Linked DNA regions of Rattus norvegicus. The protein of the gene in region 1 purifies or fractionates together with the protein of each later gene. This does not show direct contact. Links are inferred from orthologs where the notes say so. Each region holds a gene or a part of one and is shown in the gene's direction. Other genes may lie near its edges.

The links. Proteins that work in one complex are often made in the same cells at the same time.
Region 2: the proteins of Nck1 (region 1) and Git2 purify together in Homo sapiens (co-immunoprecipitation; 3 studies listed by BioGRID and IntAct, with this or other methods). This does not show direct contact. The link is inferred for Rattus norvegicus from reciprocal best matches to the Homo sapiens genes NCK1 and GIT2.
Region 3: the proteins of Nck1 (region 1) and Arhgef7 purify together in Homo sapiens (co-immunoprecipitation; 3 studies listed by BioGRID and IntAct, with this or other methods). This does not show direct contact. The link is inferred for Rattus norvegicus from reciprocal best matches to the Homo sapiens genes NCK1 and ARHGEF7.

Annotation. Positions count from the first base shown.
Region 1 is NC_086026.1:109,955,448-109,959,538, reverse strand, and holds the start of Nck1 (cytoplasmic protein NCK1), read left to right. Parts: upstream 1-1,291; 5' UTR 1,292-1,408; intron 1,409-1,451; exon of another isoform or gene 1,452-2,406; intron 2,407-4,091. UniProt on the Homo sapiens protein: Adapter protein which associates with tyrosine-phosphorylated growth factor receptors, such as KDR and PDGFRB, or their cellular substrates. Maintains low levels of EIF2S1 phosphorylation by promoting its dephosphorylation by PP1.
Region 2 is NC_086030.1:47,521,405-47,524,904, forward strand, and holds part of Git2 (ARF GTPase-activating protein GIT2), read left to right. Parts: intron 1-78; coding exon 79-327; intron 328-2,014; coding exon 2,015-2,104; intron 2,105-3,500. UniProt on the Homo sapiens protein: GTPase-activating protein for ADP ribosylation factor family members, including ARF1.
Region 3 is NC_086034.1:84,372,627-84,376,759, reverse strand, and holds the end of Arhgef7 (rho guanine nucleotide exchange factor 7), read left to right. Parts: intron 1-158; coding exon 159-258; intron 259-499; coding exon 500-554; intron 555-1,458; coding exon 1,459-1,581; 3' UTR 1,582-3,633; downstream 3,634-4,133. UniProt on the Homo sapiens protein: Acts as a RAC1 guanine nucleotide exchange factor (GEF) and can induce membrane ruffling. Functions in cell migration, attachment and cell spreading. Promotes targeting of RAC1 to focal adhesions. May function as a positive regulator of apoptosis.

The DNA of each region.
Region 1 (4,091 bases):
ATCCTCTGCCCAGCTTTACCACCTACTTTTCTTACTCAGGATAAGAAGGCGCTACAGGTAATTTGTATTTTACCTAGGGCAGGCCACCATATCTATTAACATGCAACTAGGTTAAAGGCAGAGAAGTAACTTTTTAGGACTTACCGGTAGGACCTGTATTACAGCGGAAGGAAGGGGTGGAGAGGTGGTTCAGTGACTAAGAGCGCCAGTTTTCCAAGGGACCCCAGTTTCATTCCCAGCACCCACAGGGTAGTTCAAAACCATCTGTAACTTTTTTTCTGCGGATCCTATATCCTCTTTTGGCCTCCAGGGGTAGCAGGCACGCACATGATACACAAGTACACATGTACACCAAACACTCGAACACACAAAAAATAAAAATGAATAAAAGGGGAAAGGAAGATGTATTAATTCCTCGATTATTGACGATGATGTTGTGCTAGGCATGGAGTGAGGGTGGGTGGGTGCTGACACAGTTCCTCTTGTAATAGACTTTGCAATCTAGGTATATGGGTGCAGCTACGCCGGAGGCAAAACCCGTGTTTCAATAAAGTTACCTAACCTAGAGTGCTGCTTTTAGGTGCCACAGCTATACTAAGTAGCAAGGGTGTTCGGAAATAGTGAGGCAGGTTATTGGTGGCTGTAGGGCTAATTGGGAAGGAGAATCGATTTCTTAATGGCTTAGCGGGTGGCTGGGGCTGTGCCACTGCCACGCTCAACCCAAGGGCAAAGGTAACAGTGCTTTTCACAGAACTGGAAGCGGAGAGTGAAGGCTACCCACGCGCCAGGGCACTCGGAAGTTCCTCACACAGCTTATTTTGGTTGTGGTTTTAGTTAACAAACATTTTACATTTTCTCCGAGGCTTGATTTTTCTTTGTCGCTCTCTGTCCCTAAGATCTGTAGGTGGTCGGCCCTTTCAGAAGCAGGAACCAGAGTAGTTTGGGTTGAACTCGGGACCACTGTTCGACATTAATGAGCGATTATAATGACAGGTTTTAGTAGGGCTTGGAGAGGCGGAGAGTAACCAGCTACCGAGGAAGCTGGGGGAGAAAAAGGCAGTGGGGCCCAGCGAACCTCAACTTCTCCTGTCCAAACGCTGCGCAGCCTCAGCTCACTGAACAGTGAGCGCCGCGCTTGAGTGACAAGCCCGTTCGCCCAATCAGGGAGCGGCTCATTCCTCTGACGAATCAGGGGCGGGCGCCGGAGGCGAAGGAGCCTATTAGGTTAGGTGTGGAGCGGGTTTCCTGCCCGCAACGGTCCGCCCACCGGTTGCGCGCGCCCCGCCCCTCTCTGAGAGCTACGCGGCGGCGCAGCACAGGCCTCGTGCGGTAACGGCATCCGGCCAGCCGCGGTGGCGTCCCGGTGCAGTCCTCAGGTGACTGGAGCCGCGGGCTCGGCGGAGGGAAGGTGAGATGGCCTTGCCCGCGTGCGGACACACGCACCGTCCTTTCGGTCTCCTAGTCTGTCCGCGCTGCCTGCTAGTCTCTGGTCGCTTCCTCTTCCCCGGCGAAGTTAGCCCGGGGGCGCCGTCTGCTGGCGGCGGAGCGGAGCGGAGGGGGCGGGGAGGCCGCTCGGCGGAGCTCCGGTGTCCGCGGTGCCGCCCGGTGACCCCGCGCGGCCTCTGGCCTGAGCTACGAGCCCTGCTCGGGGAGCCGAGCAGGCAAGTGTGCGGCGCGCTGTCTCGGCGGTTCTCAGAAAGCCCTGTCGCGGTCTGTGGTGTGTCCGAGGCCGGGACGGTAGGGACGCGGGCTGGCAGGCAGGAAGGGCGCTCTCACCTCCAGCCGCCAACCGGAGGAAGCCGTGAGGGGGGACATCCTCGGGCGCGCCCTCCCCTCCCCCTCCCGTTCCAGAGCAGGAGAGATGGGGTTGTCTGGGGTGGCTGTTGAGGTGGGGTAGGTCCAGGAAAAACAGCCCATTGGGTTGGTTTTCGTACGGGTTTCCGCACTAGTTCGGTTCAGTCTGTTAACAGCTGGGTTGGAAGGAAGCTGGTTTTTTGTTCAGGGTTGAGGACCGTAACATCATCTTAACATTATCGCTTGGTTAATGTCGAGCGGAGCTGAAATCACCCAAAGACAATACTGCCCTTTAGTTAGGTAAGAATCCATAGGAGTTAGGAAAGAACGAGATGAAGAAAACTTCCTGACCCCCATCTTGGGTGGGGAGCAGTGAGATCAGTGTTCAGCCCAAAACGGGTAAAGTTTTGCAAGAAGTGTTCATTTTCAAAAGAGTTACTTTGATAGCTTGATGATCAATCAGCCTTAACGATTTCTTAAGCACCCTGGAAATCAGTTGCAAGCTTTCAGCCTTTAGCGACGTCACCACATGAACAGAGAGTCCAAGAAGACAGTTTGGTTTGATAATTTTCAGTCTTGTTTTTAAGTAGACCTTCTCTCCGCATCGTGATAGTAAGTCAAAGCATATGCATTGGCTGATTAGTACTTTTTTCATCATGCTCACATTGGATGTTTTCTCTGGGAAGAGCTTCTGTAGGAATTGGCTAGAATAACTTAAGCATGCATTGTGTTGATGTCTCAGCTGTATGTATGAACATTAACTTTGAAAAGACTTGCCTCCCTGTCAAGCATTTTTTGTTTTGGTTTTCCAAGCCTTACAGATCCTATGTAAACAAGTTGGCATATCAATGTATTGCTTTTATTAAACACTGAGTGATAGTTTATGCTGCTGACTTTCATAATTTGAGAACTTAGTTTTAGAGTTCAAGGCTTGATGTGATTATTGTTGTAAATAAATTCCTTTTCAGGAAAACTTGGAAAAAAAAAATGAATTCACCTTGGTAGTATTTGGAAGAATGCATGGTTTCAATGCCAGAAAACCAATGATTATTTCACTGTTAAGTAAAATTGAAGGAAACTTAAAATTAGAAATTACTGAACATTTAACAAATCCAACAGTTTGAAGAAAGTTTGACAGGCCCGGATGATTCTCACTTTAATCTGTCTGAGAAATAAAACTTAAAAGTCTTCCCTGGGGCTGCAGAGATGGCTCAGTGGTTAAGAGCACTGACTCCTCTTCCAAAGGTCCTGCGTTCAACTCCCAGCAACCACATGGTGGCTCACAACCATCTGTAATGGGATCCGATGCCCTCTTCTGGTGTGTCTGAAGATAGCAACAGTGTACTTATGTACATAAAATAAATAAATCTTTAAAAAGTCTTCTCTGCAAAACTGATGCATGCGCTGTCTTTCTTTGGTGATACATTCTGTAACATGCTTTCAGTAACCCAGACATAAACCTTTAACAGTGTCCTATTTTTTTGTAGTCGTTTTCTTTAAAAAAAAAAAAACAAAAAACAAAAAAACCTTCCCTTCCTATTCTTATATATTGTTTAAATTTCCGCTTCTGAACTGCTCACTTGCCCTAGCTGGGTTTTCTGCCTGGGTGTTCACAAATGTGTTCTGCCTGTGCTGATCTTAAAATACGACTTTGAACATATTTTTACTGTTTAGACACTAGTAATATCTTTCGTCTAGATTTCAGTCTTTTAAGAGTTTATTTTTATTTTATGCGTTTGAGTGTTTTGCCTACATAGAAGCGCACAGCATGTGGTGTGGGTTCTGGGAACAGAACGGAGATCCTCTGCTAGAGCTCTTAACCACTGAACCATCTGTCCTAGCACAGGAAGAAAGTTGTCTGCAGATTACTAAAGTAGCAAAGTAAAAGTCTCCCTTCCATAATCTCCTTCCTCCCTTCCTCACCCCTCTCTTCTCTTTCCCCTTCCTGACTCTTTCCTTCCCTCAGTTTTGGGGTCAGATCCATGGCTTCTCATAAACCACTGAGTTATATCATCAGTCTAAAGTTCTATTTTTTAAAAAAGATTATTACATTTTTGTTTGTGTGTGTGTGTGTATGTGGGGGGTGGGTGGACAGGCAATGTGCTTATGGCAGAGTCAGAGGACAGCTTGAGGGAGTCAGTTGTCTGTCCACCACATAGGTCCCTTGACTTGAACTCAGGTTTGTAGGCTTGGCAGCAGGTACCTTTACCTGCAGAGGCATCCGACACCCAACCAGAGTTATAGTTTTTACAAATAGTTAAACATTTTAAAAAGTGTGTGTGTGTGTGTGTGTGTGT
Region 2 (3,500 bases), on another chromosome or scaffold:
TTATGTTGGAATATTTGACGTTTGCTTTGTCTGCCTGCTGTGCAAAAACAGAGACCCACTGCCAAACATTTCTTTCAGCTTCAAACTCTACAGAGTGAGAACTCAAGCCTCAGGAGACAGGCCACAGCCAGTGCCTGTCAGGTCCAGACTGCCTCTGACCACAAAGACACTGTGAGCCACTCCTCCCTGAAGCGCCGGCCATCAGCCCGGGGCAGTAGACCCATGTCCATGTATGAGACTGGATCAGGCCAGAAACCATACCTCCCAATGGGAGAAGCCAACCACCCTGAAGAAAGCCGGACAAGACTTCAGCCCTTCCCCACTCATGTAAGTAGCACCAGTGTATGTCCATTCTGCTGTGCAGTGTGACTGTTCTCCCTCTTCTGCCCCTGCAGATCTCTGGGCGCTGAGAGGGCCCCTGTGTGTGCTGAACGGATGTCTGCAGGTGCATCTGGTCACACAGGGCTTGAGACAACCTCTGTTGGCATTTTTTCTGTAATGCTTCCTTCCTAGGTTCTACAAACGAAAGCCAATTGTAAAGGTTACTAACAGAAATGTCTGTCTTCATAAAGGCAGAGGTTGGGGCTGGAGACGTGGCTCGGGGCTTAAGCACACTGGCTGCTCTTGCTGAGGACTTGGGTTAAGGTCCCAGCACCCACGAGGCACACAGCCCACTCCCAACCAGCTGTGACTCCAGCTTTAGGGGATTTGACATTTCCTCTGGCCTCCAGGGCTCTGCATGTACATGGCACACATACAAGCAGGCAGAACATCATCCATAAAATAATCTTTTGAAAAACAACCAGGTAGGCAGAGACATGCCCCCTGTATGAACTGGAACTCTTGGGCCCCAGGGTGCTCTTTTGGGCCTGTGACTGGATACATGGAGCTGAGACAGTCTTGGCTTCGGCATCCTGGTTACGGACCTCAGCATAGGCTAGTAGTATGGCTTGGTTATCTCCTAAAGATGCAGGGTAAGCAAGCATTAAACCAGCACACTCAGGAAGCTGAAGCAGGAGGATTGTCTGGACCACATCAGATCTTATCTCCAAAATATCATTAACAAACAAAGAAGGGAATGTGTAAATAACTGATGGTGGACGTCGCTCACAAGCATCATCCGCTCACAAGCCTCGGTTCCTAAGGCTGCTCTGTGGCAGGCTCTCGACGACACCGTGGTGCACATGGGGATGCCAGGTTTTCAAACATTGAACTCCTCTGTCTTCTGGACTGACTTACTGTGAAGATGTCTGTCTCCACAGCGTGCTCCAGGCATAAACTGCCCTTCATAGTTCTTCCTTCAGAGTGTGGTGTCACCCTTTGCAGTGTCAAACTGGTTTCTTGCAAGTACATAGAGCACTTGACTAAGAGTCTAGGGCACTGTGAAGTACATGCTAAGCTCTCAGGAAGTAACCAGTTCTGATTTTGCGAGACTTTAGCATGGTAAAACTGCAGCACTGTGTGCACCCAGGAGTCACAGCCTCTCTTTATTTGGGTTTAACGCTTGAAGACCAACCATTGACCTGGTCTATTGGCCACTGAACTGAGTGAAAAGGAACCTGACTTTTATATAACTGAACGTAAATGAAGGCGACCTCCCTGGCAGCGTAAGCAGTGTATGTGATCCTAGAGAAAGTGCGGCTGTGGTTGTGCTGCCCCGTCTGTCCTGAGGACTGGGGTGATCGTATGCCCCAATTCAGAGTCATCCATAGCACTATGTGGTGTTTCCTTCTCGACGGGAGAGCAAGCGTCATTGCAGGCATTAACAGTGTGTGCTGCCAGTTTGAAGCCATGCCAAGTGTAGCGAGACGGCTGTGGTATCTTTTCCTTAAGGACAAGTGGCCTCCTAAGTGCAAAGTGGTTTCCAGCAGGCTCTTGCCTCATTAGAGATTACTGTGCCAGGGCTGTCACTGAGCTCCTGCGTGTGTGCGTGGGACTGTGTGAGCTGTAGGGTGGGAAGTGGGGACGTGTTTGTTTTATGTTTTCCCAAGCTTGTTTCTTTCTCCACTTCCAGATTGGGAGGAGTGCACTTGTGACCTCCTCTTCGTCTCTGCCTTCCTTCCCCTCCACACTTTCCTGGTCCAGGGACGAAAGCACCCGAAGGGTTAAGTACACTCTGACCGGTTTGCCCTGGAGGAGGGGCAGTGCTCCTTGGTGCTTTGTGCTTGGGAGCTGGCCCTTGTGCCCCGGCCCTTGCTAACAGCCCCCTGTCCTGCATGAAGCAGCGCTTTGCTCCTGGTTTCTCACAGCAGCAGGCACGTGCAGCCATGCACCTCTGACCTGGAGAAAGCTGGCCGGCTTCCACACTGTGCGCCTCCACACTGTGTGCCTCCACACTGTGCGCCTCCACACTGTGTGCCTCCACACTGCCTCTTCTCACCTATTTAACCAGCTCACAGATCATGTAGAGCGCACGTTCTAAGCGCACTGTCTCCTTAAGCAAATGAAACTTTAGCTAGCTACTGGTCACATGTGATAGGGCAGTCCACCCAGTTATTAAATTTAAAGTGTATTTGGGTCAGCACAAAAGTGTCACGGCTTTTTTTTAACTGCTGACTTACTTTATGTTAGCGCCATCATATCAAACAAGTCCCGGCCAGGCTCAGTTGTCCTGGTGTGCTCACAGAACAGAGGGGAGATGGCTACAGGCTTACAGCTCTCCACTTGAAGTAGTAGGCCAGACCCTTCTGCTGGTGTGGGACTCACACTTCAGTGGCCTCCCTGGCACCCACCTTTAAGAAAGGCCGCTAAAGGGTATAAAAGACTTAAGTGACATGGTCCCTGTTCCCAAAGGGACATTGTGTAAAAAGAAAAATGTTTTCATGTGCACAGAGAGCAGGCTGGTTTCCTCCTGTGGAAGACTGGGAGGGCCTGAGAGTCGGAGGCTGACCCTTCATATTCCAACTCAGTCTGTCTGTAGCAAGGGTAAAAAGAAGGAAGGGACCTGCGAGCAAGAGACCACCTTCCCCAGCAAGCCTCCATGTAGCCGCCACCCCTCAGAGTGCTGAGGACCCCTGTCCACTGCTAGGGCCACTGGCTACCCAGGTCTCTTTGCTTGGTACTTACAGTGTTTTGAGTAGCCCTGTAAGAGCACTGTAGCCTTTTGTTACAATGCCAGTTAAAGAACAGCAGGGTAATAAGGGACCCCCCCATTTTGTCAGTAATTATGTTAATGAGAGTCAGGTAGGCCCAGGTGACTCACCATAAAATTTTGTAGTTTCTCTGATTTGTGGCGTTTTGGTAGCTTTGAGAGGGACCAGCCGCTGAAGTGGTTCTGTGCACACTGAGCAGTGACGTCATCCAGGACCATGTGCGCCTGGCAGCGCTGCCCTGGTCAGGTTTCTGTGGTTTGTCTGTGCAGAAAGATGGCATGTTGTTCAGTAACTGACCCCACGCCGGCTACAGGGAACCTGTCTGTTAACAGCTCGAGAGAGCAGCACTTGAGCTCTCCTGGCTCTGCATGCTCACTGTAACTCTCACAGACTTACATGCTGGCTGCA
Region 3 (4,133 bases), on another chromosome or scaffold:
GTCTTGGTTGGCCACACCCGACAGGCAGACAGCTGGGGGAAAGCGGTCAGAAACTTTACTGTAGTCACTGGTGCTGTGTAAGTGGTGTGTAGTGACATAGGTGCCCTTTCTTGTTCCTCAGTGGCACTCACATGGGACTTCTCTTCTTAATGACCCAGGTTCACGCAAAGAGTCTGCTCCACAAGTGTTGCTTCCAGAAGAAGAGAAAATTATAGTCGAAGAAACCAAAAGCAACGGGCAGACAGTGATAGAGGAAAAGTAAGATGGCTTTCTGTTCCATTATGGCTCCCCCCCCACGCCCCCAGTCCATCCCATGGGTGACGTCTAGGCTTGGGGTTAGCCTGAGGTACCCAGGTGGGCTCCTCTCTGAAGTTACAGATTTAGACAAGGGGACTCAGTAGGCAGAGCTTGGGCTCTCTGCTGCCCGAGGTGGCCCTGGTCCCGGCCAGTCTTTGCCCCTTTGTCTTTTTTCGTGTGCTTACTCACTCTCCTGTTCCAGGAGCCTCGTGGATACCGTGTACGCACTAAAGGATGAAGTCCAAGAGTTACGACAGGTATGCCAACCAGTTTTTACTTTTAATCAGTTGGTTTTAATAGGAGAAAAGGGGAACTGTTTAACACGGAACTCTTTGTGTACTAAACGGAACCACAAAGTCCACTGCCTTTCCGAGCAGTGACGGGCGAGGGCTGCAGAGACGGTACAGCGGGTGAGGTCCAAGCTCAGCTGACATCCACAGGGCAGCTTATCACCCCAATCCTGGGGTATCGACTGCTGCCTTTTGGGTTTGCTGGAGTGATGTAGGATGCTGTCCACTGTGGTACCTAGCCAGCTATGTGTGTGACAGTCTTTTGCCTAACTTTAAGTTGTGCTTTATTCCTTTGTATGTATGACATGGGTGGAGCATGTGGCATAGCACATGTGGAGTTGGTTCTCTTCACTCTATGTGGGTTCTGGAATCAAACTCAGGATGTCAGACTTGCCCTGCAAGCATCTTCACTGCTTGAACCACTGTGTGATGTGTATGTTCAACGCTGGTGGGAGTGCAGGCGCTTTGGAGGGACAGGGCAGCGATGTCCTGAGGGTGGGGTAACTGGACACACTTGGCAGTGCCTGTCTGTCCTTCCCCACGTTTGGGGCAGCGTGCTGTCCTTCCTTCCTGACCTGCTTCATTCAGTTGCTGGGGCTTCTGCTCTGCTTTTGGCTGGATAGGAATTAAAAATGGTAACAGTAACATTGTCCTGACACTGTTACCAGCCCCTTCCTTCTGGCAGGCAGTTTTATCAAGTTGTCTTCATGCGTGTAAGTGGGAGATGGCCGTTACTCTTCAGAGTACATTCACGGTTCAGTTTCGTTGGCCAGCCCGCCCCCCCCAACCTAGCGACCTAAGGATTGAGCTAGGATGAGGGATGCCGTGGGTGCTGAGGTAGTGAGCCTGCTTTCGTCTGCTTGCCTTACAGGATAACAAGAAGATGAAGAAATCCTTAGAGGAGGAACAGAGGGCCCGCAAGGACCTAGAGAAGCTGGTGAGGAAGGTTCTAAAGAACATGAACGACCCTGCTTGGGATGAGACCAATCTATAGGCTGACTTCATTCTCATAGGCTGAAGACCAGCAGCTCCTGGACAAGGCTGGGGCCCTTGGTCCCCAGCACAGTGACATTCAGGACTAAGGAGGTGGTCTTCAAAAGGCAAGCAGCAGTGATGAGCTGTTGCTGAAGTAGCTACATGTGAGTTCTAGACACCGAGGCCTGGGCTGAGTGAGCACCTCGCTGTACACCTCTCCCTGCAGTGACTGACCAGAGTCCTCGGCTTTGGGACTTGAGTTGAATCTATAAATAGCTTACCTGTGTACTCCTTGTAAATACTGAGATCTGAATGAACATGTACCTGAGAGGTGACTAGGCTAACCCTCTTGCTAGGATTTCCTTCTCAGCCTTTCTGGCCACAGGGATCTGAAGTTGTGTTCCTAAAGTGTTGGAAGCAGAGAGGTGAAGGGATGCCCGGGCAGCATCTGACTCGTGTGCAGTGTAGGCTCCTTGGTGCCATCAGGAGCAGGCACTCAGGCACAGTGGATTTGTGTGTCTCTTTTAACTGCAGTATTCCAGTCCCGAGCTACGGCAGTACCCAGGGCACCATGGGTTCTAGGAGGGTGAGACTGGTGCCCGCCTCTGCTGCGCTGTCCTGCCTGGGCCCTGGGTCACAGTGTGGAGTAGTGGGCTAGCCTGGTGTATCTTGGCCCTGTACATAGTTGTGTTATTTATTCCATATTCTTTAGCCGGTGCTGCCGGGCAGGGTTTGGCTGCAGGCCGTTTTCATCCACAACCTCTGCTCTGCCTTTGGCTGCAGCCAGCGTTGTCCAGGCCACTGAGAGCCCTCTTAACCCTGAGCAAGACTAAAGCAATACACACCGCACTGGAGCAGCGCGGAGAGCCTCAGTGCTGTGCCCCCGCCCTCCCTTGCTGCCTCCCCAGGCCCAGATGGGCCCTGGAAGGCTGGTGGCTTCCAAGAGGCCCTGCTTCTGTTGGGCCAGGCTTGCCCTTGATTTGGCAACAGTGACAGTGACCTCAGGAGCTTAGCTGTCCCCTTCCTTTCTCCAAAGAGGTTGTTTTGAAGTCAGAGATACTTCCCCATAGAAAGGTGTTTGTCTTTAAACACTGAGGAGCAGTGTGGCTGGGGCCTCAGCATAGCCTAGGTTGTGACCCAGCTCCTGGCCGCTCGTCCTCCGTGCAGGTTTCTGAGTGGGTGTGTGGAGGCCCTTTGTGCTCTCCTTCCTCCACACTCTGGCTGGGTGCAGCGTCTGTCAGGATCCACCAGAGCCTCCCGCTCCTGTTAGCATTTTACCAGCCCAGTCTGTGCCGGGTGAGAAAAGCTGAGGTGTTCTTTCTCTTTGGTAAGCCCTGCTTCCCAAGCACTCTCCGACCCAAAAGACACTACAGCAGAGGACAGTGTGTTCGCTGTCACAGTGGACCTCACCTCAGGAACAACGCTCCTTGCAACTCCACTGCTGGCGACTGGTGCCTGGGGTTGCTGGACAGCTCCTCCGCCAAGAGCAAGCGAAGACCATCTCTGACGCGGTCCTCACCCCGCCGAGGTGGCTGTGCAGGCCCCAAGGACAGTTTTTACAGACCTGCCTTAATGATTCGCTTGGAGACTTCCATGAGTATCCCTACCCTGGACAGGGTGGTAGCGTTGTGTCAGCACGCCACCCTGTCCTTCTGAGATCCAGTGTCTTCCAGGCTCTCAGGGAGCGAGAATCTGCACCCGGAGCAGTCCTTTTTAAAGCTGGCACACACCCCGTTCTCCTCCTGCATCTCTGCGGTGGAGCTCTGACACCCACAGCACAGGGTGCCTCTCACCAACTCCAACTCCTCCGCGCTCTGTGAGGGATGAGGGGGATTAAGCCATTTCCTGTCCTCTAGTGAAGCACTTTCCGTTCTGAACCATGCTGCTGCGTGCAGCCTCTGAAGCTCCACTCTTCCCTCCCAGTTGTTGCCCACGCTCCCTGTGCACCTCATGCCAACCCCTCCTTCCCTGCGACACTGCAGGAGCCGGTGCTGGCAGACCGCACCGGTGTGACTGCTGCAGTGTGTGTGCTGCCCCCTCCAATTATTAAACTCCTTATTTTCCTATCTCACCAATGTGTTGCTCCATCTTCCTTGAGACGCTCTCCCTGTGTGTGTGTATCTTGGCTTTTTAGGTTTGAAAATCCTCATGTGTTCAATGCAGGAAAATACTGTTGAAATCTTTTTTTTTTTTTTTTTGAAGCTGGGGACAGAACCCAGGGCCTTGCGCTTGCTAGGCAAGCGCTCCACCACTGAGCTAAATCCCTAACCCCTTACTGTTGAAATCTTGTGGGAGTATTTAAGGGTCCATCAAGTTGGAATAACAACTGCAGTTAGGATGTGGGCCATTGCGTGGATTCCGTGTTCTGGAGGAATCTGGTGTCACAAGAATCGCCTTGTGACAAGAGTATTACTGTGTGCCGTTAGGTCAGAGCGCTCTCTGACACTTCCTGGAGGCTGGGCGTGTCCCTGGTGAGCGTGTCTCTTGCTCCAGTCCAGAGGGTTGGGAGACACCCTCAACGTTGGGAAAAGCTGCCAGTCAGAACTGCAAAGCTAGGAGCTGCAGGCACGG